3 linked regions of the Diceros bicornis minor genome follow. The protein of the gene in region 1 purifies or fractionates together with the protein of each later gene. This does not show direct contact. Links are inferred from orthologs where the notes say so. Each region holds a gene or a part of one and is shown in the gene's direction. Other genes may lie near its edges.

Region 1 (10,032 bases):
ACTATTGGCATGTCTTGCGATGGGCAGACGAACGCCCTTTCTGGGCGGTAACATTTCCAATTGACTAATCCTCTTTTCTGCTATGTACAATCTACTAGTAAACTCATTAATTGAGTTTTGAATTTCAGTTATTGTATTTTCACTTCTAAAGTTTCTATTTGATTTTTTCATTTATTCCAGCTCTCTGTAAAATATCTCCAATGTTTTCATCTATTTTCTTGAACATATTAATCATAATTCTTATAAAGTCTGATCAGTTCAATGTCTCAATCATTTATGGGTCTTTTTCTGTTATATTTTTTTCCTCTTGGTTTTCAGTCATTTGGCCTGTCTCCTGGCTTGCCTGGAGATTTTTTTAAATGAATGTGGGAGATTCTATAGATAAATTGAGAGGTTGTAGATCATTTTATCTTCCTTTTCTGGCAGGAAGAGTAAGGTAGAGCACTTTGATCCAATCAGGAAATGAGATGATTCAAGGCTGGGGTTCATTTTCCTGACTTTGTCCTTCTCCTTAGAATGTAGCTCTCAGGCCGGCCCCGTGGCTTAGCGGTTAAGTGCGTGCGCTCCGCTGCTGGCAGCGTGGGTTCGGATCCCGGGCGCGCACCGATGTGCTGCTTCTCTGGCCATGCTGAGGCCGCGTCCCACATACAGCAACTAGAAGGATGTGCAGCTATGACATACAACTATCTACTGGGGCTTGGGGGAATGAATGAATGAATGAATGAATGAATGAATGAATAAATAAATAAATAAATAAATAAATAAAATTATAGAATGTAGCTCTGCCGGGAGGAGGGGGGCGGGCGGGTCTCGGCTGAAAGCCTGCAGTGTTTGCCACTCCTCTCTTCCTTGGTGGACTCCAGGTTTGTCTCTCCAGTACCATGAGACTGCTGAGAGCTCTGCTTTTCAGCCTCTCAGCCGTTGTTTTCTACTTGGCGTCTTGATCTCTTGGCCCAGGCAACTTGGGAATCAGCAAATGCTTCTGTCGGGGGAAGAGGGAGAATCTCCCTCTGCCCTTTCCCTTAAGGTTCTTCTGGCTGGCCAAATAATCAACAAGACAGGTTAGCAGGAGAAAATAATACCAAGTTTAATAACATGTATACATGGGAGAAAGCAGGGACACGCGTTTCTCAACACAATAGCAGAAATTCTCATCTTAAATACCATCTTCTTCTAAAGACAAAGGAGGATGTTGGGGGTGGGGGGTGTCAGTTACAGGAGATTACCACTAAAGCACTGTAAACAAAGGTAAGGTTATTATGCAGATTTAAGACCTCACCTTCCACATTGATAAGTTTCTAGAAATGAGGTCATCCCCCCTCTTCCCAAGACAGAAAGGGAGATACCTTTACAAATGGAGATTTCCCTTATAAATGTAAATGTTTGTCTGGCAACTCCTCGCAGGGCCATCCAGAGAATGTGGCCAGAGAGACAGAATTTCTGATAAGATGGGCTTGTTGGTGCCTTTCCTATTGTAACATCTATTTTACATTATATTACAGCCATCAGATGGAAGATCTGTTCCAGGAAGGAGCCACCATGTCAAATTCTTTAGGCAGTTAGTGGGGGAGGTCAAATGTCCTTCAGAGAAAACAATCAAGGTAAAGAGATATATTTCAGGGTGGCCAAATTTTGATCTCCCACACTTCCAAGTGAGAAGTGACACAAAATCTCTGCTGCTGCTGCTTCCTCAGGATTTTGGCCCCTCACATATATTAGCTTCCTTGATTGCTTTCTAATGCTTCAAACAGCTGTTTTCTTTTGATTTTTTTCTTCCTTCAGAGTGTTTGATAAAAGCTGCTCTATCACGGAAGTCTCTAAGAGCAATCTCCATGAGAAAAGGATCTCATCTGTCTTGTTTAGGGCTGTTTCCTCTAGAACAGTGCCTAGTACAAAAAAAATGCTTTCAATAAATATTTCTTTTAGTTAATGTAAGTAGGAATTAGACCATATGTCTGTCCTTGACATCCTTATCATTTACAATCTTCCACATCTATCTGAGGGAGTCTAGAATTGTTGAATCTCCTTTTTTAAATAATTCCTCAGTCCCATTCCTCTCCCCCTGTGATAGACATCCATTCTGATGTGTTTAATGTGATCTTTTACAATTTTTTATGCAAAATATGTATTGCTGTTTTTTATTTATATAAATGCTGTTATATAACTTATTTTGTTCCTTATTCTTTTCATTTATCCCTGTGCCTTTAAGGTTTGTGTATATCTAATTCATTTCTTCTGCTGCATTGGATTCCATGGTTAACATCCACTACATTTTATCTGTCTAGGGAGGAGCACCCAAATTGCTGCTCCCTGCCAACTCAAGCAATGCTGTAATAAACATATCTTACTGTTCTTTTTTGGACTTACATGAGAATTTCTTTGATATAGATCTCAATAATATATATATAGGTGTATATATATATCTCCAAGAGCAGACTTGTTTGATTTTACCCACCCAAACAATTTGTTTGACTAGTATCAGATTTCTCTCCAGAATGGCTGTACCAGTCTACTTTTTTACCAGCTGCGTGTGGTGAATCTTATATCCCCACATCACCACCAACATTTGACATTATTCACTTTTCTAATTTTTGCCAATCTAATGGGCATGTGGTGATATCTGACTGCTGTTTTAAATGCATTTCTCTTGTTACTAATGCTTTTGAGCACCTTGAATATGCTTAGTGACCTTTTGGTTTCCCTCTTCTGAAAATTGCTGCTTCGTGGCCTTTGCCCATTTTTCTGTGAGGATTGCTACATTTTTCTTGTTGATTTGAAGGAGTTCCTTGAATAGTTTAGAATAGTTAATCATCTCTTGACAACCTTAAACATCATGAACATCTTCCCCAACTCTTTCAACTATCTATTAACTTCATTCATGGTGTCTTTTATTGAGCTGATAGCCTTAATTTTTTTGTTTTTGTTTTTTTATCACGAAGATCAGCCCTGTGCTAACATCTGCCAATCCTCCTGTTTTTTTTGCTGAGGAAGACTGACCCTGGGCTAACATCCATGCCCATCTTCCTCCACTTTATATGGGACGCCGCCACAGCATGGCTTGCGAAGCCGTGCGTCGGTGCACGCCTGGGATCCGAACTGGTGAACCCTGGGCCACCGCAGCGGAGCGCACGCACTTAACGGCTTGTGCCACCAGGCCGGCCCCTAGCCTTAATTTTAATATAATCCATGCCTTTAGTTTTTTGCCTTACAGTTTGTACCTTTGAACTTTCCTTTAAGGGGATATTTTTTATAGATATTTCCCGTCATCCTGTCTGACATCCAGGTTCCGTGGATGCGCTGGTAAGAGCACCAGAAGAGTCTGGCCCACAGGATCACTTGGACTGGATACCTTCCTGGGATGCAAAGAGCACCCACCTTCTCTCTGTCTCTAAATTCTACCTTTCTCTCTACCCTGAAATTTCACTTCTTTTGTCTTTTTTATATCTTCTTAATGTAAACCTACCAATTTTAACCTAATTCATTCTGGGTTTGGAAGTGGAAAGAATGTAATGGTTCAAGAAGAATCCTGACTACGTGGACTTCAGCCTATTCAGCAGCGTAGGCAGCTTCCTAAGAGTCTGAAGTCAAGCCATCCAAGCTGTCAGGAAGTCTCTGTGAACCTTTTTTAAAAAGGAAAAGCTTCATCCCTGCCTGGGTACAACACTGTATATGCTAGTACAAGAGCAATGAAGGGCGCAAGTGTCATTGGTGTTCACAAGCCGCTGAGTGGGCTCAAACGTCACCAGCACTGGCCTCCTCAAGACATCATGACCTTGCTTACAGCCTAGTTCTGGCATCAGGTTTTCTTAATCCATTCCTCCTCTCCAACTCTTTGTGTATTTGAGAAACAGAGGAAGAGTGATGAGTCAAAACATCCTCTTCCATTTCTCATCATCCATTTCAACCATAAGTGTCGGTTATAACCATCCCATCCTCCTTGCCAGAAACTTGGCCTCAGTCTGTTGGATTGGCAGAAGTAAGAAATGATATGAGAAACTTTGCCAGTTTTTTTCCACATACAATCTACAGATTAAGATATATCTTTATAACCTTTATTTTCTACCAAACTCAGGAACTAAGTCATTTCTAGCCAAGAAGGTAAATGTGAAATGTTAAGTAACCCATTTGAAACAGACCTTTCATTATTTGATCTTTATGAGTGATCTGTAGCCTCAGTTCCACATTCTCAGGTAGGAAGAATGTTACTTATTTCCTTACCAAGCTTAAAAAAATTCCCACACTGCTCTGTCTTGCTTTACTAACCTCTGTAGTTTTCTAGATAGTCATATACTAGGAACAGTTAATAGTTGGATTGAAATCTGTCAACTTTCTGTATTTCTGGAGCATGTTTTGAAGCTTCATCTGCAAATGTTAAGGAAGATCTTAGAGGTGCTAGTTGCCTGGGGCAACCTACAAAGGTAATGCCAATTCCCTGGGGACTCTAGGTCTCAGGTGCAAGGCCTAAATTAAGAACCAAATCGGGCCAGCCTGGTGGCCCAAGCAGTTAAGTGCTCGCCCTCTGCTGTGGGGGGCCCGGGGTTCGCTGGTTTGGATCCCAGGTGTGCACCAACGCACCACCTGGCAAGCCATGCTGTGGCGGCCTCCCATATAAAGTGGAGGAAGATGGGCACGGATGTTAGCCCAGGGCCAGTCTTCCTCAGCAAAACAAAAAAGAGGAGGATTGGCAGATGTTAGCACAGGGCTGATCTTCCTAACACACAAAAAAGAACCAAATCAATAATAAAATTTTCCTTAATCCTTGGAAGGTAAAGATCCACCTCTGAATATTTTATTTACACTTAATATGCTGACACTTTTGCTGTGTTCATTACCTACTACAAAACACTTGCAATCCATTTATGCTAGTTGAGTGTCTCTTATCATAAATAACTCAGGTATCTGCTGCTTTGATTCCCCTGGTGGGTACGAAATAAATAAAAGATAAAGGTCTTTCCCTCAAATGATTTTACTCTTAATTGAAGAGAGCAAACACATAAAGAAAATAAAAGAATGGGTAAATTATAAACTGTTTGATTGTAAGAGCAACCAAGTTAAAGGGATTGATTACTGTGAGCAAGAGTTAAGAAAAAACGTAATGAAAGAGGTGAAAAATAAGGATGGATAGTATGATGGGCCCACATAATGGGACAACCAGTATCTGGAACAAACCCAACTTGAACTATTTTGTATTGTTGCCTTCATGGGAAGAACTAGAGTTAAAAAATTTAACAGTGACTGCTATATAATAGTTAAGGATACAAAGTATTCCAAAGACTCTGAAGACAAAAAGCTATCCAATTTAAGCAAAAACAGCCCTGCAGGTTTTACCCATTTATTAAACTAGTTTTTCCCAGGCACTTAGGATGTGCCAAGCACTGCGGTGAGTGGCCCGAGCTAGCCAGTCAGGGTTCCTGCCTTCACTGAGCTTATTTCTCTTTCAGGAGACTTTCGCGTTGGAGTATCTCAGTCACTACAATAACAATACCTATTGAACGCCAATCATGTGCCACGTCTTGCGCTAAGGCCCCTTCATATGCCGACTCATTTAATCATCTCAACAACCCTGTGAAGATAGCACCTAAGATTTCCAGTTCTGGCTTCAAAGGACCTCATCTACCAGAGGCCCCCTTAAGCGAAACATTTTGCAGCATCAAAATGCTACAGGTCCCCAACTCCCCAAAATGTTTAAAGGCAGCTAGCGCACTACAAGAAGAAGCGGGACTGGGGCGCGGCGGGCTAAGCTCCGCGGATCTCCCAGGCGACGGGACGCTACCCGCGGCGAGGTTGCTGCGGCCCCGCCCCTCCCTCCGGGCGCCCTCTGGCCCAGCCTCGCGCTCTGCGCATGCGTACGTGCACTGACCCCGCCCCTCTGGCGCCGCCGTCGGAGCCATTTCGCTGCCGCTTCCATGCAAGTTGCGGTGCGCGTGCTGGGTGTTGGTGAGGAAGGCCGGCGTCACGGGCGGTCGTGAGAGAGCTGTGTTCTCCGGCACCAGGAAGCGGAGGTCGGTAGGAGAAAGACGTCTTTGCCACCCGTTGGGGCGGCGTGGAGCCTCGCGGCTCTGCAGCCGGGCTTTGTTGCGGAGCGCGGGCGGCGGCGGCGGGTGGGGGAAGGGGGAGCCGCCCCGCCGGGTGCCCGGATTGCGGGTCGTGTGCTGCTCGCCGCGCCGCCGGGGGCCGCGTTGTGGCCCCCAGTCCTTCGCCCGGCGATTCCCAGTCCTGTCTCCGAAGCAGCCCGACCCTACTTCCTCCTCCGGCCAGCGCGCGGCGGTGGCGCTGTCGCCGTCGCCGCTGAGTGAAAGGGGGTGAATGGTCTGGTGGTGAGCCCGCCGTGACGCCGACGCGCCCAGAGCCCTTCATTCATTCATTCAGGCCGTAAATACTGGGCGCTGCCCCGCAGGCGCTGTGGGAAGAGCAGTGCACACGTTAGGCGGGGGCCCTGCCCTTCCCTCGCCGAGGTTGTGGTCGTGGTGGGGGTGGGGGCTGTAGGAGAACAAATGTCTGCAGGTTTCGGTGAAGAGAGAGGAATTACGGCGTGTAAAGGGAGAGAGCTACTTTAGGTGGGATGGAAAGGGAAGGCGTTTTGGAAGAGGTCGACCTTTGAGCTGGTATCTCGGCCTTGAGACCGAGAATGGCGTCAGCCGTAAAGATGCGGAGGAAAAGCTGAACTGCAGGGGCAGAAGGGATTAGTTAGCGCTTAAAGGCAGGGATTGGAAAGAAGCTGAAAGAAGGCCATGTGACTGGAGTGTGGTGAGGATTTAAGAGAAGAACGGATTTTAGGGTGGCTAGAGTAGAAACGGGGGCGTCATTTAGGACGTGATTGCAGTACTCCGGTGTGCAGTAGCGGTGGCAGGGGAGATGGAGAGAAGCGAATGGATTAGAGACATGTTTTGGAGGCAGAATTGCGTAGTAGATCAGGAGTCGGATTATCTGGTTTGGAATTCTGGGTCCCCCACTTAGAGCTCTGTCTTTTGGGCAAGTTATTCTTTGTCTCAGTTTACCTATCTGTAAAAAGGGGATGATAATAATGCGTATCTATACAGTTGTTGTAAGGGTTAAGTAAAATAGTTCATGTAGATGATCCTCAGGATTCTTACTGTCTGGTACACAGAAAGGGCTCCACAAGGGATAGCTATGGAGGATCTTGAAGGAGTGGATGACTCCCAGATTGTGACGTGAGTGGATGGTGGTGCCATTTAAGGAGATGGGAACACTGGGATTAGGGGGAGGAGGAAGAGGTTTGGGAGGAATTTTAAAATTCTGTTTTGACTGAGATGCCAAATTAGCATTCAACTGGGTATGTTAGTGCTGCAGTTGGATGAACTTGATTTTTTAAAAAATGTTTTTGCTGAGGAAGATAAGCCGTGAGCTAACATCTGTTGCCAGTCTTCCTTTTTTTGTTTTTGTTTTTGTTTTATTTTGGTGAAGAAGATTGGCCCTGAGCTAACATCTGTTGCCAGTCTTCCTCTTTTTGCTTGAGGAAGATTGTCCCTGAACTAACATCTGTGCCAGTCTTCCTCTGTTTTGTATATGGGACACTACCACAGTAGGTCCACGCCAGGGACCTGAACCACTGAACTATGCCATGGGCCGGCGCCTAGATAAACTTGATTTTGAAATTTGAAGAGAAAAGACTGAATTTTCAATATATATCAGTTTGGGCATCATTAGCATATACTTGATACTGAATATTACAGAGTTAGATGAAACTACCTAGGGAGGAAGGAATTAGATAGTGTAGTCCTTCATATTTCATGTTACTCATTCACCCTGAGGGCTTGTTTTTTGAATTAATTATTCAGGAGTGGAGTTTATAGATAGACATCTTCAGCTTTCCGTAGCTTTTCAGTTAATAGGATGTCCCCAGGATTAGCCTCTGGCTGCAGAATAAACTTATTAACAAGTTTATGCTAGGGTCCAGTTTGATGACATTAGACTTTGGTGCTAACAAAATACACTAAACATTAACAGAAGACCAAAGTTTAATGTTAGTAATGGGATTTCTTCTCACAGCAAACCAAATTCATAGCATATTTTCATTGGTTCTAAATTTGGTCTCAGGTATCTTGTAAATTAGACTCAGATTTTAGATTCATAGGCACCATGTCTTTTGGTATCTTATAAACTGGAGTAGAGGGAGAGTGCCAACTTGGCACTCTGAATTTGAATTTAGGCCTCCACAAGTGAGTGACTGGGAAAAGTTACTTAAACTTTCTATGCCCTAGTTTCTACCTCTGTAAAAGATGATGATAGTATCTACCATGTAATGTTGTCTTCCATCGTTGTGAGAATTAAGTGAATTAAGACACGTAAGATGCTTATTGTAAAAAAAAAAAAAAAAAAAATATGGGGGAGTACATTACGTCAAATATTTTTTAAGAAAAGATAAAAATCACTCATAGTCACCCAAAGATAACCATTTTGGGGCATATTTCTTTCCAGTCTTGATTTATGCATATATACTTGTTACATAGTTCAGATCTTACAGTTTTGTAGCCTGCTCCTTCTTGTAATGTGTCATGAACTTTCCAATCATGTCTTTAAAGTTTCCTCATAGGTGATTTTAATAGCAGCATGATAGAATATCCTGTACTTAACCTGGATTTTCAGTAAATCTCACTTATTGTTTATTTCCAGATTGGTAATTTCCAATATTTGCTCTTATAAATAATGCTGTTTTTAACTATTGTTTTCTTAGGTCTGAAGAAGATATTTGAAACATGGGTGATGTTAAAAATTTTCTGTATGCCTGGTGTGGCAAAAGGAAGATGACCCCATCCTATGAAATTAGAGCAGTGGGGAACAAAAACAGGCAGAAATTCATGTGTGAGGTACTAAAGAATACAGTTTACATTTATGTGATTTTTGAGGCTTATTTTGGTGTTAAAAGAACAGTGTTTTCTATTTGGAAATGTTAATGCGTTGCATGTTGGAGAATGTTCTTTATTGTGACTTGCCTGCTATTCTGGTTCATTATAAATCATTTTCATGTGAGCATTACTTTTAGAACAGTCTGAGAGGTGGATTATTCTAATTAGAACATGCATCTTCCTCAACTTCTATGATACCAGTAGTGCATGGTAGAAAAGTTGGATCAGCTGTTTGCTGTTTTACTAACTCCTGTAGAAAGTGGAGCAATTCTTGATTGCTTCAAGTCAAAGTGTTTAAAATAAATACAGATGGAGAGCTTGTTCTTGGATCTTATAAAATTCAATTTTAATGTGGAACATTCTGTTACATGAGAAGAGACTATCTGAGCCACATAAGTTAATGCTCTTGTTTTTGGATTAGTTTATCAATGGACAACACAACTCAAGCATTTTCATAAGAAAGCCCATGAATTCTCCTAGGTGTGTTATTTTCAGCCTGTTTATAGTCTGTCTCCAACAGTTAACTGTTATCCCTTAATGGACTGTTGAATTATGAAGTTTTTAAATCCCAGGATTACCCAGATCGATCTCTTAATACATGTTTTTCATGACTGTTAAAGGTTCGAGTGGAAGGATATAATTACACTGGCATGGGCAATTCCACCAATAAAAAAGATGCACAGAGCAATGCTGCCAGAGACTTTGTTAACTATTTGGTTCGAATAAATGAAGTAAAGAGTGAAGAAGTCCCAGCTGTTGGGGTAAGTACTTATGACCAAGAACTTGAGATGTATGTTATAAAGTTATGCCAACCCACTATGTATGGAGACCCAGGGTAATAATTTTTCAATGTTGTTATCAAATATATTAATGTGTTGCTTAGTGAACCTTGGCATCTTGTTTTCTCGGAGCCCTAGGATGAGTTCCTGAAGCTGTGGATTTCATTCTTATAATGTAGTGGACTTGTAGGCTTGGGAAATACCTTTAATCTGTGTGTCTCCTGGTTTTGAATGTTTCATTCATTCATAAACTGATTTTTCAGAGTCTGTTGTGTTCTGTGTACTTCCAAAGATAACATTTTAAGTAGAGTATAAAAGTCAGTAACATTTTAAGACACAGTGTTTGCTCCCACTGACACACATATCAGAGAGAAAATAGTACTTCG
Region 2 (9,727 bases), on another chromosome or scaffold:
CCCTCATTTCCTAATCAAAGAACTGGTCCTTGCAGTGATTCCAACAGGTAGAGGAGGTAAAGCCACGTGAATCTGCTTACACTGACTTATTTACTCTGAGCAGGAGCCAGACTGAGGGGAACAGGCCTGCAGTACCCTCATAAATTTTCAAACAAACATACATATGAATGTATACAAAAGCAAAAGTCCCTCCTTTTGACTCTGCCTTCCTTCTACCCAGTTACAATCTGAACCACCCCCAGATCAGAGGGGGTGTGTGTGTGTGTGTGTGTGTGTGTGTGCGCGCATGTGTGTAGGTTTGCTGTCCTTGTTTGGCACAGTCCTTCCTCAGAGATAGCCCTAAGGCTAGTTGGTTTTCCTCCAAGTATATGCAAACTATATTTCGCCTCTGTGATCAAAATTATGTAAATACTACAGCTTTCCTTCTCATTATATAATATCTTAGAGACACCAGTTGCTGTTTAATTGACCTATCGATGTTTTCACTGTCTTTGTCCTTATATTCTGATTTTTGGTGCCAGCCTGTTTTTCTTCACATTATTAAGTCTCTGGGTTTCTAAAGTACAATTCACTGTAACATAATTATATACTTTGCGGTCAGTTCTCCTCCTTTCCATTCTATTCATCAGCAGGATATTGCCGACTTTCCTCTCTGACTCTCCACTCAGCTCCATATCTAATAAATACCCCTGTATCTGTCTGAAGAACACAGAGGAATCTATTAAAAAACACGAACCCACCCCTCTAACTCTTGCTCAAGGAATTTGGTCTCAATTTTAGTGTATACCTACTCCCTCCCCTCCAGCCTATGAAGGCTTTTTCCTCTTTATGTTTGTCAAAAGCAACCCCAATCACCTGTTCTTCAGGAAAGAAGAAAGACTTGTTTGTGTTCCCCAGCAGGAACCAGGAATCTAAAGAAAATTACATCCCTGTGCCTTTCAATCTACTGAAATATCTCGGAATTTTCTCTTTGGACGGAGAACCAGTTACCTCATATGTGGCTACGTCCCCACAGACAATCTCTCTTCTCAACTGGCATCCATCTTGAAGTGGAACTCAGTACTCCATGGCATCTTAATGGCACCTCCATTAAACAAACACCCTCTACTAAGCACTAATGAGCATTACTGCTTTTATTGAAGGTAAAATCATTACCTTATTGGCTCCTCCCCCACATCCCCCATGCAAAGCTTTTTGACTTTATTTGGCTTCTCGGATTTTGCACTCCCATACCCATCATTTAATACTGTCTTTAAATTTATTTATATGCAACAGACCAAAGAGCCTTCAGCTACTATGATCCCTTGACTTAGAAGTCTGCTAAAGAATTATAACAATTTTTTCATCACCAAAAATATTTTTCTTGTCCCGCCCTAATTAGAAAGGTCCATTTGCTGAGGCAAAGGGCAGGGTGGATTTATCCTGTGTTCCAAAAAATAAGTGCCAAGCATTTGTGTATGTGAGTGTAGTATTTGTCACACCTTGTTAATTATAAACCCCCTCTTCTCATTTAGAGTCTTTAACATGCATTAACACTGTTAATCTCTAGGACTGTGAGTCATTCTGTCTCTTTAATAAATTCTGTTTCATCCCTAGTGAGCTGACTGTGTAGTCTGAACTCTTTTCTTCCTCAGCTTGCTTGTGTGCCGTGTGTTGAGGGGAGGAAGTGAACAGCTGCCCCCATTATCTAAAAAGAGATCAGAAAGAATATCGTTTTCCTTGGGTTAATCAAGTGATTAATGCCTCTAAGTGCCAGAGTACAGGAGATCACTTCCCTAAGGTTCCAAGGCAGGGAGGAGGCAGAAGTGGACCTTGAGTTTTTCTATTTGCATGCACTGAGAGGGATTAACAAAAATCACAGAAATTGTGGGGGGGGGGAAGTGGGTGAAGAATAGAGAATAGAGATTTGCCAAAGCAGGAGGGTGGTAAGAGGTTGGGGCCAGAATTTGGAAGGCCTTAAATGTCAGACTGTGGAGCTACAGTTTGGTCTTTAGGTCACGGGAGCCACAGAAAGTTTTTAAGCAAGAGACACAGAATAGCAAAATTGAAAAACACTCAGTGAGGGTGGGATTCTTCTATGTCTCTCTAATACAGAAGTCACTAACACACACATTCAGAGTCAATAACTAACACTCTGGGCCTGAATGTCTACCTGGCAACAACTGGCTGGACAATGAGGCACCCACTTGAGAAGGAGCATGGCTCTCCAGCGCCCTCAGGCCCTACTTGGTCTGGGTTCACCTTTTAAAATTAGTGGTCTTCAAATATTCCCCCCTAAGAAAATTCTGAAAACATATTTTAGGTTCTGGATGTACCACAGTTTATCCATTCACCTATTGAAGGACATCTTGGTTGCTTCCAAGTTTGGGCAATTATGAATAAAACTGCTACAAACATTCTTGTGCAGGTTTTTGTGTGGAAATAAGTTGTCAAATCTTTTGGGAAATCTCAAGGAGTGTGATTGCTGGATTGCATAGTACGGTAAGGTATGGTTAGATTTTCCAAAAAAAGGATGAATTGAGCAAAGTATATTTTCATTTTCACCAACGGTCTTGGCTGTTACTAATGAAATTCCTAGGTTCTCCAACCTCCCTAATGAAACTGTTTCTCTGTGTTTAGAAAAAATGTAATAAGCTTCAACCATCTTCAGCAGGAAAACAGAGATTAGATCAAGAATGAGAATGCATACTATGGATTTACTTTATAATCAGAAACTTGTCTGCCAGAGGAAGACTCAAAGTTCCCTTTTTCTGGAAGGCAGGATTAATCAAATAATGACAACTATATAATTACATACTGTGAAAAGCTTTATGAAGACAAAGGAGCTATGAGTTGCTGTAAGACAGGGACATGATCTAGTAGCAAAATATGAATTATTTCCCCCTGGCAAAATGTAGGGAGGGTTTCAGTGGACTTACCTTACTTTATAAATTATTTATTGTTATATAGAGAGCCTCAGATTTAATTACTTAGCATATATGATAAATAGGCAAACCAGTCCAAATAACTCCCTCAGTTCCTGTACAGTCTAAAACACAGTAGGAGCTTAATTGTTGGCCAACTCCTACAAGATTCATCCTTGACACTTCTTTCTTTCCTATCCCACCCATCAGCAAATCATTGGCTCAATTTTCAATCAGACCATTTCTCCTTTACTGGTTGCTGTTAACCCAAACCAAGCCCCATCATCTCTTGCCTGGATTACTGCACTAGCCTCCCAATTAATCTGCCTGCTTCTGCCCTAGCTCACTCTCAATTTAATTCTCCACACTGTAGTCGTAGAGGTCCTTTTATTATGTCAGTCTGCTTAAAACCTTCTAGAGATTTCCAATTTACTGAAAGGAAAATACAAAGTCCTTACATTGGCCTACAAGCCCTTCTTATTTCTGGCCTTCTCCCATCTTTCCTCCTACCTCTACTCCAGCCACATTCTGCCACAGGGCCTTTGCACTTGCTCTTTCCGCTATGTAAACAAGGCTAGCTCCTTCACTTGAGGTCTCTGCTCAGATGTCACTTGATCAGGGAGGCCTTCCTATGACACCCTGTTTAACACTATGTAACAGGCATACTTCCCTCCCACGCAGGCACACATACACTCTCTGTCCCTTTTCTCTGCTTTACTTTTCTTTCTTTTTATCTTAGTTAGCAACTGCCTAACATAAACATTTATTGTCTATCTCCCCCACTAGAGCGTAAACTCCACGAGTGCAGGAACTCATTTGTTCACTGCTGTGCCCCAGTTCCCAGCCCACTGCTCCATCCCTTAGGCCGTCAACACTTGTCCAATGAATCCCACGGCCCATCTGCCTCTTTCGGCCCAAGAGACATCTGAACAGCCTGTCCTGAAGCTCTACTCCCTATGCTACTTTTGCAGTAATTTGGGAAACAGAACAGAGCGGAAGACACCACTTGGCCCCCACGACGAGGGGCCTCAAGTGTCCCCCCTTCTATCCATCTGTAGAAATAAATAAAAGAGATGTCAAACGAGCGCTCTCCAAGGGCCCTCGCGGCTCGAGGATTCCGTGAGGCCACCTAGCCACGCCTGTGGGACTTCACAGTGCAGTGGGAGGGGAAGCAGCAGGCGCGGAGAAGAGCCAGCTTCGACGAACTGAGAGAGAACGCGGCCTAGCCTGCTCACAAACACGTCCTCAGGCCTTCACCTTTTCTGAGGCCCACCGCTTGGACGCCTCCGCTTCGGGAGAGCGCTAAGGGCCTCCACGGGCCTCCTGAGGCAGCGCCGGCTAATGGCGGCCAAAGGACCGCGGCGGCCACCGTAAGTGGGGCTTCACCCACATTTTGGTTCTTTGTTAGCCAACTGTGCTCAGCCGAGGACAGGGTAAACATTCTGTTCAGAAAATGCACTTCTGTGTGAACCAACTGCAGCAAAGAGTGCTTTAACTCAGCGGGGACGTCGCCGCCTGACCAACTCCCGAAAGAACCGACATGGCGCATCCATCATGGCTGCCGGCGACAGCGCGCCGGGAGGCAACTGAAAGGAAATGGCGCCGGGCGCGCGGTCAGTTTCGGCAGGCCCAGGGCGGCGGGGCCGAAGAGCCGGCAAGGCCATGGAGGAGCGCCAGCCAGAGACCCTGAAGACCCTCCTGGACTTTCGGCACCTGGAGACCCTGAAACTTGACGACGGCAAGATGGACGACAGTTATTGTCTATGCAAACAAACTTGCACAAGCGGACCCGGATTCCGGCCCGCGGTCGGAACCCGGCAAAATCCTCTATTCTCCAAACAGAATGCGTTACGCACACTGCGCATCTTCGCAATAGTGGGCCGGCTAACGACGCAAAGAATGTTACGTCGCACCGGAGGCTCTTCACCGCCCCCCCACCCACCACCACGTTCTAGTTCAGGTGGCGCGAGAACTCTACGCTCGATCCGTACTTTGTTTTACTTCTGCCGGCCGCAAAATGCGCCCACCTCCGCAACTGACGTAAAATGCCTTCAAGAATACCCGTAGTACTCCGCGAAGCCCTCGGACTGTTCCGAGACGCTGTTTACGTATCGCCTCCGACGTACGTAGCGTTAAGCTGGAGCAGTCTCAGCGCCGGCCGCCATTTTGTGCAGTCGCTGGGAGGGAAGGAGACGCCTAAACCGCGGCAGTGCCGGGTTTGAGCGTAGCCAAACCTAGCCACTGTTTTTATAACCCCGATTCTCTGTGTTTTGCTCCCGTCTCCGACGAGAGAGGCGGCGACGGTGGCGTCTGCGACGGGAGACAGCGCGTCGGAGCGAGAGAGCGCCGCGCCTGCCGCCGCCCCAACAGCGGAGGCGCCGCCGCCATCGGTCGTCACCAGACCGGAGCCGCAGGCCCTCCCGAGCCCGGCCATCCGTGCCCCGCTCCCAGATCTCTATCCATTTGGGACCATGCGCGGAGGCGGCTTTGGGGACCGGGACCGGGATCGTGACCGTGGAGGGTAAGGGGGGAGGAGAGGAGAGGCTCCGCGTGTGCGTGGGGCGCGGGGGGCTGCTTCCTGAGGAGACCGCAGCCTGCAGCCGAGCCGGAGGCTTTGAGCGCCTGCAGGCCTGGGAGCGACGCTCTCGACTCCGCAGGCGGGGCCACCCGAGGCATAATAGCGGGGTCGAGCGCGGGCCTCGGGGTGGGCCTGGGCCCCAGGGTCGCTGATGACCTGGCGGGGGGCGGCGGCTTGGCGACGCCCCGGCCCCTCCTTGCGGACGGCCGTCGTGGCGCGGCCCCGCGGGAGCGGGAGGGGGTGACCGCCGCACCCCCGGCCCGGCCCTTGCCTCGGTTCCGGCCGAGCCGCTTGATTCCCCAGGCCTCGGCGTTCATCTGGAGCACGGGGGTTCGCGGTGAGAGAAGAGCGTGGGGTCTCCGCGGTCGGCCTAGGCAATCTGAACGCGAAATGGCCTCCCTGGTGTTATCTGTCGCCCGAGATAGCTGTGCCTGGAATTGGAAACCTGGTTTGCAACTAGAGACCAGAAGGCTGACTTGTGGTTTTAAAAGTATTTTCTATCACTTTTAGTCGTATTTTAACAAATTAGAAGCAAGCATCTTGGAAAGTAAACAGTGAAATTATTTGCCATCTAAATTTGGGGAGAGGGGTTTTTTTGGTTTGGTCGTTAGTGTAGGTTGTTTTTTTTGTTTTTTTTTTTTAACCTTTCAGTCTTTTGTTTCCCTAATTGGACTGGAGCATTATCTTCTCAGCCTAACTAGAAAGTGTTTCGTTTAGTAATGCCGTGGTTACTGGGTTGGATGTTAACAGGATTAAAACTGAAGTTCTCTCAGATCCTGAGATTCAAATCTTAATGTCGGGTTAGACGAAAAAGTTGCTTAAGAGATCCATGTTGATTTGTGCTGTTACTTTTTTGTAATAAAAGTTGTATCTCTAGATAAAAAGTAATGTGATGCCGTTTGAATATATATGTAACCTCAGGCAAGATCCTGAACCTTTGTGTGCCTATTTTCTCATCTGAAGGTGGGGATAATAATTGCCCTTACTTTGCATTGTTGTGGGGAATTGAGATACGGTGTGTAATTGTCTTTCTGTAGTAGGTGTTCTTTAATATTTTCTCCAAACATTTTTGGTTTTGGGGGTTCAGATACACAAGTACCAGACCTTGTAGTCACAGGCACCTCACCTTCACTTAATTTAAAAAATAAAAAAGATTGTTTTGAATTATACCTTGTTAGGAAGGAAAATGTTTGATCTTAATGTTAAATTTGGAGGGCTAGAAGTGGAATGTTTGCTTAGTGTTTCACAGTAATAGCTAAGTTTAGAAGTGAATTTCAGTATAAACGCTTAGGAAAAAGAACTTAACATTATCTGATAGAGGTGAAAATGACCCAGTAATTCCTCTCTCAAGCTTTGTACTCTAGACTGTAAGGCCTAGAGAAACCCATGTACACGTGCTCCGATGTCTGTGTGCAAAATAATGTTTATACCCCATTGTTCATGATAGAATATTGGTAACAGCTTAAATGTCTGGACAAATTGTGGATATTTGTACAGTAGAATACAATACAGCGGTGAAAAAGAAAAAAAACTTGTATCAGTGTGGGTGACTCACAAACATAATATTGAGCAAAACAAGTTGTGGTAGAAGCATAACGTGTATAAGGATACCTACAAATATGACAAGACTATGAGAAGCAAGGGAATGGTTAAAATTTCAAGATAGTTATGGTGGGGGTTGTAAATGGAATAGGCACATGGAGGCTACCAGGGTACTGGTAATGTTCTGTGTCTTTAACCATAGGTGTTTGGTTCATTTCACTGTATGTATACTTTAATAATAAAAATAAATTAGAAAAGGGGAAAAAGTGAATTACTGATCCATAGTTTGTCCCATATTGATTCTTTGAGTATCAAATGATGTTTAAAAAAAAAAAAGCTTTAAAAATAATTCATTTCAAACAAAGTGGCACTCTTTCATAAGGTCTGTGCTCTAACTACCTTTATCATGAAATTTCCTTTATGGTTTGAGTTGCTGTTGTTTCATTCTTAACTGAATGTTCTTAAGTGAAGTGGACTATTATTTTGAAAAGAGAATGAGTGAGGTCACTATATGTACACTTACAGTCCAAAAATGGTGTGCATTGTACCTTTAAACTAGCGTGATTTTGCATGTTAATATATAAATCTTCAAAGTTGCATTTTATTTTTTTATTGAAATATAATTGACATTAGTTTCAGGTGTATAATATTATGATTGAATATTTGTATACATTGAGAAGCGATCGCCACAGTAACTGTAGTTACCATTCGTTACTATACAAAGTTATAAAACTTTTTTCTTGTGAAGAGAACTTTTAAAATCTACTCAGCTTTTTCGAATATACAATACGATATTATTGACTGTAGTCACCATGCTGTACATTACATCCCCATGACTTATTTCAAAGCTGCATTTATGGCATAGTCAAACTTAATTCTTGATAAAAACAGTTAATGAGCAGCATAGTGTGCCAGGGATTAGGATATGTGCATCTTTAAAGGATGGCACAGATGTGCTCAAAAATTCTACAAGAGTAAAAGGCTCTCTTGAATATTGAAGGCAGCATTAATCGTAAAGGTAGAAGACAGCATATTTATAAAGACCCCCATGTTTCAAATTATATCTTTATAATAGAGTAGGAAGATATGTCTTGGACAGTTAGCCAAGACAATAGAGAGAAAGGAAAAACATTTTTTTTCTTTTAAATAGAGGCTTTGAATAAGCCTTAAAAGGAACCTTACTTTAAGAAGTTTAATTCGTTTACGGTCTGGGTAGGATTGGAGTGCAGCAGCATTTAAATGGCACCCTCTAGGAACCATATAAATTTATATAAACTAGGCTGACAATCTCTAAAAATTGGTCTTTGGTTTGATATATGTATCCCTATGCAATATCCTTTTCCTGTTTTGATTCCTCATTTCTCTTACCAATTTAGCAGTAGTATAAATAGAATCCACCAAATTTTGCCTATTGAATGTAAATACTCAATGGTCCCAAGAAAATTTCCTGCCATAAATCTTTGTATGTCTGTATTTAAAGAAATATCTAGCTGAGTCTTTAAGCCAAAGAGTTTAAGAACGCTTTGAATTCCAGGAGATTGAGGCCCTTTAAAATAGTACAACTACTGCCTGTCAATTATAAAGTGGAACCATCTGCCGAATGATGTTACGAGTGGGTTAGAGTGGAAGAGGAAAATTAAATTCAGTATAGTGTTTTCAAGAGTAAGGAAATGGTTTAAAAACGTGCTGTATACTATTTGTACACCAAACAATGCCCTGTACTTTAATGGGTTGCAGTATGGAAATGAAGACCATCTTAGTGCTAGGCTAGGAAAAGTAGAACATTTCAAGTGTGACTAGTGGCCATATTTGTATTCCAATTGAACTTGTCTGTTGTGAAAGTTAGATAAAGCAAAAAGACTCATTTTAAATCTGAGTTTTAAAAACTTTGAGACATTAATGGGTTTTTTGGGTAAATTTATAGTTAAATTAAGAGTGCTGTTTGCCTGGGAACAGAAAGATATAAGGTCAAGGTGGAGATGAAGAGGAAGGACAGGTCATAAATCTTTGTTCTGGCTGTTCTCCATTAGTATGAGCTAAAGTTGAAGACTAGCTTACCAGTCTTTTGGGGGTCCTCATAGTTGTCCTTAGCAGATTAGTGGACGAAAAGAGTGCTCTCAGTATAAAGGGGTAAGAGATGCAAGAAGTTCCAAGTATGGGGTAACTTGCTTGAAGTATGTTTTTCTGCCTGTCCGCAATCTTGCCTTCAACTTAAACTTAAACTAATGTCCTCCCTTACAAGAGTAGAGACTTCTGTTTTGTTTACTGTAGTATAATCTCCAGCACCACTTAAAATAGTACTTGGTACATGAGTGCTTACTATGTCAGATACTGTTTTAAGCACTTTACACATATTTGTGTTCACAGCTGATATAGGTGGGTAGTATTAGTATTAGTCCTCCTTTATATAAGAAACTGAGGTGCAGAGAAGTTAAATAATTTGCTCAAAATCACACCATAAGTGGCAGAATCAAAATTCATACTTTTCTGATTCCAGAATCTGGTTGTAATCCCCATGATACATGTCTCTAAATATAAAAATTGTTAGTTTTTCATCATTGTAAGCATACTTTTAACAGTATTGTTGGATAGTAAAGGAAGTTTCATGAACTTCTCCATACCTTCAAATAAGTAATATTCTTTTTGGAGGGGGCTGGTAGTATCCTAAGAATCTCATCTTTTTGTGTATTTTTATGGCACGTGA
Region 3 (9,706 bases), on another chromosome or scaffold:
GGGCATCCTGGCCGTTTCACCCGTGGACTTGACCTTGCCCCTGGACTGAGATCTCCCTGAGAAGCTGCTACAAGACTGGACCTCATGTCTCTCTCTCTGTGTGCTTTCCCCAAGCCTTCCTATTCCACTCGGGGCTGTGGGGTGGTGGCTGCTCTCCCTGTTTCTGCCAAAAAGAAATTGTTTAAAATTTTTTCATATTAAAAACTTTTTCAAGTATTTAATTATCCTTTCACTTGAGAACTAAAGTTCTAAGTAGAGGAGATTTGGTTCAGAGAGCTCTCTGGTTTATAAATTGAGGAAAGAGCCAATTCATTTATTCTAGAAATATTTATTTGGAACGCCTACAAGAGCACCTGTCATCTGGATATACACCATATTTGAGGATCTCTGTAAGGATGATTCCAGCTAATTACATTTTTTTCCCTATTGCATGAATTATTTATTCCAGCTAATCCTGTGTTGGTGGTCTGGAGTCTTTCCAGCTAGTTCCAGAAGAAAGCTACAGTCTCCCTTCATGGGGCCTCCAGAACACCACTCTCTTCTCCTTTTTCTCCTCTCACTTTTTCTGAGCTTTTTTTGCTGGTTTCTTGTCATCCACCTGTAGACCGGGTAGGGGCCTAGCCCGCTTCACAGAATTATGTTTGTAAATGCATAAAATGAAATGCACAGGATTACAAAAGAAACCAATTACAGTCAATCCTCATTATTCGCAGATTCCGTATTTGCGAATTCACCTACTCGTGAAAATTTGTTGGTAATCCCCAAATGAATACTCCTGGTGCTTTAGTGGTTGTTGGTGGGCATTCTTGTGGGCAGAGTGGCAGAAGATTTGACCCGCCTGATGTGCACATTCTCTGCTGAGGTCGAGCAAGGTGACACGTGCCTTCCAATTTTTTTTTTTTTTTTTGCTGAGGAAGATTGGCCCTGAGCTAACATCTGTGCCTACCCTCCTCTATTTTTTTGCACGTGGGACGCCGCTACAGCATGGCTTGATGAGCAGTGTGTAGGTTTGTGCCTGGGATCTGAACCTGTGAACCCTGGGTTGCTGCAGCAGAGCATGCAAACTTAACCGCTACACCACTGGGCTGGGCTGGCCCCCCTTAACACGTGCCTTCTTGTTTCAGCTATCATACTATAAACAGGTGTCCTTTTTGCAATCTATTTAGTGCCACGTTTTTCACATTTTTGTGCTTTTTGTGGTGATTTCACTGTTACCACAGCCCCAAGCACAGTCCTGAAGTGCTGGCTAGCACTCCTAAGCACAAGAAGGCTGCGATGTGCCTTATGGAGAAAATATGTGTGTTAGATGAGCTTTGTTCAGGTGTGAGTTACAGTGCTGTTGGCCGAGAGTTCACTGTGAATGAATGAACAATATCTATTAAGTAAGGTGACTTTAAGCAGAAAACACACATAAAATAAGGTTGTTTATTGGTGGGCTGACAAAAGTGTTGGGACCAGAGGCTCACAGGAACCTGACCCTGAATTTTCCTTAGGAACGATGGCTCTGTGTTCACTAAGTCAGTGTTCGCAGCGACTTTTTAGAACATACACCACAAATCATAAGAATCGACCGTATATTGAAATAAAGTTTTCAGTGTTGATATAAAAATGAGTGTATATAATAATAGCCATGCTTCTTCATTAACATCAATTAACAACACCCAGAGAGCGTCTAATAACCATGATTTCTAAGTAGAGCAGGAATGACATTTTGAGGTATATTAGTTATTGCTGTGTAACAAATCCCACAAATTTAGCGGCTTATGATAATACACTTTTTTTGTGTGTGTGTGTAGAAGATCAGCCCTGAGCTAACATCTGTTGCCAATCCTCCTCTTTTTTGCTGAGGAAGACTGGCCCTGGGCTAACATCCGTGCCCATTTTCCTCCACTTTATATGGGACGCCGCCACAGCATGGCCTGACAAGCAGTGCTGCTGTGCGCGCCTGGGATCCAAACCTGGGCCGCCAGCGGAGCACGCACTTAACCGCTTCGCCACAGGGCGGCCCTGAGATTCTTTTTTTTTTTTTAATATAAAGTCCTCAGAATCTGGTGTGTGTCTTGCGCTCGCAACACATCTCGGTTCAGACTTGCCACAGTCCATTGCTCATTGCCCCATGGGGCAAGTGGCTGCCATGTTGGAAAATGCAGAATTTAATGCTGATGATGCCCCCACTTCTGACTCTTGCTCAGATCTCTCCCCTGAACTCTATACCCAGGTATCCCCCTGCCCAATGCCATCCTCTTTTCAATGACATTTGGTTATTCTGTAGTGTTGAAGAGATAGTTTGTATTAATTTTTTGCTCTTCGTAGCAGCACATAGCAAAAGTAATTGATCGGGTCAAAATACTTGGAAATCAGAAAAAAAGGTTAAAAAATGCTGACACGGGGCCAGCCTGGTGGCGCAAGTTGTTGAGTGCACGCGCTCCGCTGCGGCAGCCCGGGGTTCGCCAGTTCGGGTCCCGGGCGCGCACCGACCCACCAGTTGTCAGGCCATGCTGCAGCCAAGCCCCATATAAAGTGGAGGAAGATGGGCACGGGTGTGAGCCCAGGGCCAGTCTTCCTCAGCAAAAAAAGAGGAGGATTGGGAACAGATGTTAGCTCAGGGCCGATCTCCCTCACACTCACAAAAATGCTGAAACATTTGGAAAAATAGCAAAAAAAAAAAAACGGGGGGCCGGCCCGGTGGCGTAATGGTTAAGTGCACACGCTCTGCTGCGGCGGCCCAGGGTGTGCAAGTTCACATCCTGGGCGCGCACCGATGCACCGCTTGTCAAGCCACGCTGTGGCGGCGTCCCATATAAAGTAGAGGAAGATGGGCACGGATGTTAGCCCAGGGCCAGTCTTCCTCAGCAAAAAGAGGAGGATCGGCATCAGATATTAGCTCAGGCCTAGTCTTCCTCACCAAAAAAAAAAAGGCAGTACAGTAGGGGTCAAGATGTGGGCTGTGATAATTGATTAATAGGACTTCATCAAAATTTAGAATCTCTGCTCTTCCAAAGACAACGTTAATAAAATGAAAAGGCAAATCACAGATTGGGAGAAAATATTCCAAGTAGATATATCTGACAGACACTTGTCTCCAGAATCTATAAAGAACGTTTACAATTTCTGAATAAGAAAACAACACTGTAGGGGCTGGCCCGGTGGCTCAAGCGGTTAAGTGTGCGCACTCCACTTCAGCAGCCCGGGGTTTGCGGGTTTGGATCCTGGGTGCACACCGAGACACCGCTTGTCACACCATGCTGTGGTGGCGTCCCATATAAAGTAGAACAAGATGGGCACAGATGTTAGCTCAAGGCCAATCTTCCTCGGCAAAAAAAAAAAAAAAAGAGGATTGGCATAGCATATTAGCTCAGGGCTGATCTTCCTCACACACATACCAAAAAAAAGAAAAAAGAAAACAAAACCGTTTGTAAAAATGGGCAAAAGACTTGAACAAACACTCGATAAAAGAAGATACACACAAGGGCTGGCCCGGTGGCATGGTGGTTAAGTTCGCGCGCTCCGCTTTGCAGCCCGGGGTTCGAGGGTTCGGATCCCAGGTGCAGACCCACACACCACTCATCAAGCCATGCTATGGTGGTATCCCACATACAAAATAAAGGACGATTGGCACAGATGTTAGCTCAGGGCCAATCTTCCTCAAGCAGAAAAAAAAAAAAAGATACAGAAAAATGGCCAACAATCACACAAAAAAGTGCTCAACATTAGTGGTCAGGACAATGCAAAAGAGAACCACGAGATATCGCTTCATACCCACAAGAATGGTTAAAATTCAAGAAAATGGTGGAACACACTGGAAAACTTGGGAGTTTCTTATAAAGTTAAACATACACCTAACCGTAGCATACGACCTAGCCATCTGCTTCTAGGTTTAGCCGAGAGAAATGAAAGTGTGTGTCCACAGAAAGACTTGTAGGTGAACGTTCATAGCCACTTTATTTGTAATAACTCCAATCGGGAAACTACCCAGATGTCCATCAGCAAATTGTGATACAGCCACACGATGGAATACTCCTCAGCAGTAGAAAGGATGGGACAACTGTTGTATGCAACAACATGGCTGAAACTCAAAAGCATTATGCTGAGTGAAAGACAGACACCAAAGAGCACAAAGAGTATAATTCCATTCATATGAAATTTTAGAAAAGGGAAAGCTACACTATAGTGACAGAAAACAGAAAGGGGGAGGTCTTGACTGGAAATGGTCATAAAGGAACTATCTGGCGTGATGGATAGATTCTGCAAGTCGCATTCATCTTCATCCAACTAGTAACTTTCTGCAGGACGAGGAAAGCTTCCTGGAGTAGGCGGCCTCTGAGCTGGGCCCTGACTGACGTATAGGAGTTGGCCAGACGAAGGGAGGCGGGTGTTCCCGGCAATGGGAGGGGCTTGGCAAAGTCCAAGCGGCTTGAGCGGGCTCCCTGGGTTTTAAAAACTTGGGGCAGTTAAATAGAGGGCTAAAGGTTAAATGCCTCAATGCCTGAGGCTTATTCCTGACTTGTCTCGCAAGCCCGGACAAGCCCTCCCTCTCTGGACCTCGCACTGCTTCACATTTCCCCTCGGGTAAATAGGCATACGCTCTCTTGTTCCTCCTGGACTCCCCTAGGGCTGGGAGAATCCACCGAATGGGCGATGAGTGACAGTCCTTCTAACCAATCGCTGAAGCCTAAAACGGTACCTACCTCCTGATGGGCCAATCCCGTGTTCCCCTCGAGGCCGACAGCTTGGCGAGGGCAGGCCAAAGTCCTCGTGACGTCACATTTGGGCTAAGCCAATAGCAGCTATTAAAAGGCGGATCGTTTTGGTGACGGACAGCTCTATTTCAAGATGTCCACTTAGCGCGGGGCCCGCCGGGAAGTTGTGAGGCGGTGCTGGTGGGGGAACGGGCGGGAATTCCTGGTTGACTTTGCCCAATCATCAGTCGCGCTTCTTACGATAGACGGGCAGTCTTTCCCATCCCGGTCGACTTAAGGGGGCGGGGCTCTACACGCCAGACTGGGCGGGCCCCTGAACTTTGACGGGCGTCTTCTTCGTCCAATTGTCAAATGGTATTCCCAGACGGGCCGCCTTCACTGCCAATGAGATCTCCAGGCGGGGTCGCGCTGGGCGGGCCGTGGACCCTCCGGTATAAGACGGTCCCGGGGGAGTGCGGAGAAAGGGGGGGGTTTCGGCGGCCGGAGGAGGAGTAGGTGCGGGTGAAGATGGCGGCAGCGGAGGCCGCGAACTGCATCATGGAGGTGAGCGCCTGGAGCGCCGTCGGGGGCGGGGGCGGTTTGGGGGTCGGTGTTTTATGCCTCCGTCATGGAGAAGGAGCTCCGAATAGACGGATTGGGGCAGAAGGCCCCCAGCCGTACCGAGAGGGCGTCGCATATTCCGGATCCGGGGGTACCTTTTGAAGTTCGGGCTCCCTAGCTTTCGGGGGCCCGCGGCAGCCGGCCGAACCGTGGGTATCGTGCCCCCTCCCACGTGGAGGAGGGCCGGGGGCGCTTCCGGCCTGGCCCCCACGTGGCCGCGGCGCGGTGGGTGGGGAGGGGGTGTGCCGTGCCCGGTGGCCTGGCGGGCTCCACGTGTGGGACAAAGGCCCCGCCCCCGACCGGAGGAGGGGCGCCCGGGGGGGCGGGGAGGAGGCTCCGACCCTCCCTCGGACGCCCCCAGCCCACCTCCCCGGGGATCGTGACATACGCCTCTGGTGGCACTTACCTGGGGTCCTCTGCGAAGTAAAGAGCCTCTTAGGAGGGGCGATGTATCTTGAGCCTCTGCAACCCCCTTTCCGGGAGCGGGGCGTCTGCTTAGGCATCGGTCCAGGTTTCGTGCACTTTGGGGTTGGGGTTGGAGGAAGACTAAGAATTGGCCCCCTTCGGGCCGTCCCGTTTCCTGTTGCTGGATTCTCCCCCGCCCTGCGCTCTGGGAGCTGGGGGGATGGGGTATGCCCCTGTGACCTCCCTCTGGGGGGGCACCTAGCTGAAGGAGATCCTTCTCGATAAGGCTTCGTGCACCCCCTTGTGGCCATTTCTGGGTGTGTGGGAGGGACATCTTTTTCATGGGGCGTGTCCCAAAGCCCACCTCCTGGTTGGAGCCCTCCGGGGCAAGGGGAGGGAGAGTTTGTCTGCTGGGAAGGGGATGTGATGGAATACAGGCTGCGAGCTTAACCCCTTACAGGACCCCTTTCTCCGACGCATTTGTGAGAGTGGGAGATGACCTCCCCCTTCCTGATGTCCTATTTAGGGGTCCTGAGCTTTGATGCATGAAGTGGTTTCCCGTGAGGTTTGGTTCTTGTGCTGCCATGTGGGGCTGGTTGCGGTGCTGGATTTCAAGCCCTCTTGGGGCTCGTCTGGTGGTGGTATTAGTGGTGTTGAGAAATGGGCCCCAGTGGGAAATCCCCTCCCCAGGCTTCCTTACTGGCTTGGAGGATGGGAGTGGGGCTTGGAGCCCAGTGGGTCGTGTCTGTGACTTCACGCTTGGAGGGTGGTCACATCTGGAAGAGATGTAATGTGATGGGGCCTCAGTCACCAAGATGCATACCATTGGGGGGGAGCTCCCAGGGGTCACTCCAGTGTGACCACCCCCCATGGCTCTCTCCTGGACCCGGGCCTGTATCTGGTCGTGGAAGAAATATCTTCCCCAGAGGTTGTCCCCGGACTTGGCCCCACACCTGGGGGGCTTCAGGGCCTTGGATGGGTGTGTGAATGAGGGGAGAGGGGCTTGAGGGGCCAGAGTCTGGCCATCCTCCCTGGGACTACCTTTCTGGGTAGAGGGTAACAAGAGAGGTGATTGGTTCCAGCTGGTTTTGTTCTGGCCTTCCTGAGCCCAACGCAGGAGGTAGAGGCTGGGGTGCCACCTCTGGTGGGGGTGCCACACCTCCTTTCTGGAATCCTCTCATAAGAGACTGGTTTGCAGAGGTGGCAGATGCCCAGTGGGTGCACCTTGCCAGCCCCCCTCCCCCAGCTACTCCTGGCACCCCAGGATGGGGGTGTGTGTCAGGAAATGTCACCTAATCTGGGGGGATTAGATGATGAGGGGGAGTGACAGCTGGCAGTGCCTGTGTGCCCGGCGGGTGCCATTCCTCTGGCCAGGATGGGGGAGGTGTGTATGGTCAGGTGCCTGGCCAGAGAGGGGCAGTGTTGGGGCAGGCCACCATCTCTCCAGCCACAGCTGAGACAGGACCCCTCTCTTCTCCCTCCACTTCTCTCTTTTTAAAAACAGCCCCGCCTCTTTACTTGCTCCCTCTGTCACCACTCCCCACCAAGGAAAAGGAAAATTGCAGGCAACACCCCCCTGCCCCTACGGGCCTGTGTCCTCTGGCCTGGCCTTCCCCTAGCCACCCCCAGTAGCTAATCCTTTCTCCCTGTTACTCTCTCCTAGAATTTTGTAGCCACCTTGGCTAATGGGATGAGCCTCCAGCCGCCTCTTGAAGAAGTAAATATCCTTTTGTGAGACCCTTCCCCACATAAACATGTCTTGCCACACATCAGGCCCTTCCTAGCAGTCTAACCATGATCTCTCTTGCTTCAAACTGTTTACTCCGTACCTCCGAAGCACTTACTCCAAACTCCCTCCAGCTCTGTGGCCCCCAGCTGGCCTCCCCCAATACTGTGGCTACTTCCTTAACTCCATTCCCAGCCCCCCTTTGCCCTTCCCTGTGTCGACCCCAGTTCTGCTTCCCCTCCCCTCTCCAGCTGTGGGCTGAGCTAGAGATGGGGGCAGAGAGACTGGAGAGATGGTAGGCGTGGCTGAGGTATCGGGGTGCTCCCCTGGATGGTGCTTTGGGGGGGGTCCTGGAAAGAGAGAATGGGGTTGTTAGGTTTTGGGGTTCTGGGGGAGGCAAGATGGCAGGCGGGGGCTGTAGGTACGATTTGGGGGGTGTCTATGCTCTTCATAAGTAGGGACCTGGAGGTTTAAGAAGCCGTGGGGAGCCCCCAGTTTTGACCCGCGCTCCCATCCACCCCTCCCAGGTCTCCTGTGGCCAGGCAGAGAGCAGCGAGAAGCCCAATGCTGAGGACATGACTTCCAAAGATTACTACTTTGACTCGTACGCTCACTTCGGCATCCACGAGGTGAGTGTGGACAGTTCCTGAGAATGCTGATTCTTCGTGGGGTTAATGTTTGGCAGGGCTGGACCTGAATTTCCCACGCATGTGCAGTGCCTCCCCTGGCAGCGGGCCGCCCCTTTGCGCATGCGTGGCACACGCTCCGGGGGTCCTTTCGCTCAGCCGTTGCCTTGGAGACCGAGGTGAACCTGGCAGCTCCACGGGGCCGCTCTTGGGAGGCTGGAGTGGGAGCGCGCATGCGTGCCTGCGACTCCAGCCGGAGGGCGGGGCGTGCCGGTCTCTGCCGCCCTCTCGTGACCGGTGGTGGGACTGTCCCCCAGCTGCTCACGCCCGGTGCGCAGACGTGCCTTTTTGCACCCTGTGGAGGCTGAGGTCCCAGAAAGTAGCTGGGATGGGAGTCTGAGGATTTTTTTTTTTTTCACTATGGCCTTTTTGGAATTGTGGTGAAATATACGTAAAATTGACCATTTTCAAGTATACAGTTCAGTGGCATTAAGTTACTGAGGACTTTTGAAAGCCAAGGATTGCTGGGGTTTAGGAGGCAGTGGTGGAATCGGGTTGAGATGGGAGTTTAGTCCGTCCAGTCTGATTTTAAAAATAGGGAAACTGAGGCACCTGGAAGGGAAATGACTTGTTCCGAGGGGACTAAGCAAGTGGGAGGGCTGAGCTCTAGCTCTCCAAACCCAGTGAGTTGGAGGCCAGGGCAGCCCCTGTTCCAGCTGGAAAATGAACCCCCTCATGGTATCCTTGTGCTCCCGCCCCCCCCAGGAGATGCTGAAGGATGAGGTGCGCACCCTCACCTACCGCAACTCCATGTTTCACAACCGGCACCTCTTCAAAGACAAGGTCGTGCTGGATGTGGGCTCGGGGACGGGGATCCTCTGCATGTTTGCTGCCAAGGCCGGGGCCCGCAAGGTCATCGGGGTGAGTGTCCTGGCAGCCGGTCTGGCCTGGCGCTGGGCTTGGGGGTCGGAGAGGGGGCCCCCTCAGGGCTCCGGCACTGGGTGGAGAGGGATGGGGGCTGAAGGGGGGACTGGGGGGGCTCTCACCCTCCCTTCTTCCTGGGCCCCCAGATCGAGTGTTCCAGTATCTCTGATTATGCCGTGAAGATCGTCAAAGCCAACAAGTTAGACCACGGTGAGCCCAGGAAGAGAACGGATTTGGGGGGTGGAGTGGGTGAGCCCAGCTTCCCCGGGGCCCTGGGCAAGGGGGTTGGGCCACTGGGCACAGATTCAGCCATTCTTGCCCCGGGGACTCTGGGCTGCCGACAGCCGGGGGATCCAGCCTTCTCAGAACCCACGACCTATGAGCGTGTTCTGCGGTCTTAGAATTTGAGTGTCGAAGTCGCAAGCTTAGCACTTCAGTCTTAAAACGATAGGGCAAGAACAGTCTTTATTTTTTTCAGTGAGTAACAGAGTCACGTGGTTGACACCTGAGGACCCACAGAGAGAGGTCTCTCAGCCGCCCTCCTCTGAGTCCAGCCAACACTCCCTTCCAGAGAAGTCTGCACCTACAAGCAAACATACTCTTAAATGTTTTTACATTCAAGTGCATATTTTTTATACAAATGGCATTTCATACAAGTCTTTTGCCCTTTGTTTTTTCATCTGTTTATTGTGTGGTTTAACACATTTCGGATGTTGAGAGGCTCT

What was found. Proteins that work in one complex are often made in the same cells at the same time.
Region 2: the proteins of DHX9 (region 1) and DDX17 fractionate together in Homo sapiens (co-fractionation; 3 studies listed by BioGRID and IntAct, with this or other methods). This does not show direct contact. The link is inferred for Diceros bicornis minor from reciprocal best matches to the Homo sapiens genes DHX9 and DDX17.
Region 3: the proteins of DHX9 (region 1) and PRMT1 purify together in Homo sapiens (affinity purification with mass spectrometry; 3 studies listed by BioGRID and IntAct, with this or other methods). This does not show direct contact. The link is inferred for Diceros bicornis minor from reciprocal best matches to the Homo sapiens genes DHX9 and PRMT1.

What each region holds. Positions count from the first base shown.
Region 1 is NC_080743.1:84,570,543-84,580,574, reverse strand, and holds the start of DHX9 (ATP-dependent RNA helicase A), read left to right. Parts: upstream 1-5,896; 5' UTR 5,897-6,002; intron 6,003-8,695; 5' UTR 8,696-8,717; coding exon 8,718-8,828; intron 8,829-9,487; coding exon 9,488-9,628; intron 9,629-10,032. UniProt on the Homo sapiens protein: Multifunctional ATP-dependent nucleic acid helicase that unwinds DNA and RNA in a 3' to 5' direction and that plays important roles in many processes, such as DNA replication, transcriptional activation, post-transcriptional RNA regulation, mRNA translation and RNA-mediated gene silencing.
Region 2 is NC_080764.1:11,437,449-11,447,175, forward strand, and holds the start of DDX17 (probable ATP-dependent RNA helicase DDX17), read left to right. Parts: upstream 1-5,213; 5' UTR 5,214-5,374; coding exon 5,375-5,424; intron 5,425-9,727. UniProt on the Homo sapiens protein: As an RNA helicase, unwinds RNA and alters RNA structures through ATP binding and hydrolysis.
Region 3 is NC_080773.1:25,061,894-25,071,599, forward strand, and holds the start of PRMT1 (protein arginine N-methyltransferase 1), read left to right. Parts: upstream 1-5,192; 5' UTR 5,193-5,207; coding exon 5,208-5,243; intron 5,244-7,368; coding exon 7,369-7,422; intron 7,423-7,633; exon of another isoform or gene 7,634-7,723; coding exon of another isoform or gene 7,724-7,741; intron 7,742-7,958; coding exon 7,959-8,060; intron 8,061-8,822; coding exon 8,823-8,978; intron 8,979-9,127; coding exon 9,128-9,191; intron 9,192-9,706. Other genes in the region: BCL2L12 (bcl-2-like protein 12), read left to right, coding at 1-49. UniProt on the Homo sapiens protein: Arginine methyltransferase that methylates (mono and asymmetric dimethylation) the guanidino nitrogens of arginyl residues present in proteins such as ESR1, histone H2, H3 and H4, FMR1, ILF3, HNRNPA1, HNRNPD, NFATC2IP, SUPT5H, TAF15, EWS, HABP4, SERBP1, RBM15, FOXO1, CHTOP, MAP3K5/ASK1, MICU1 and NPRL2.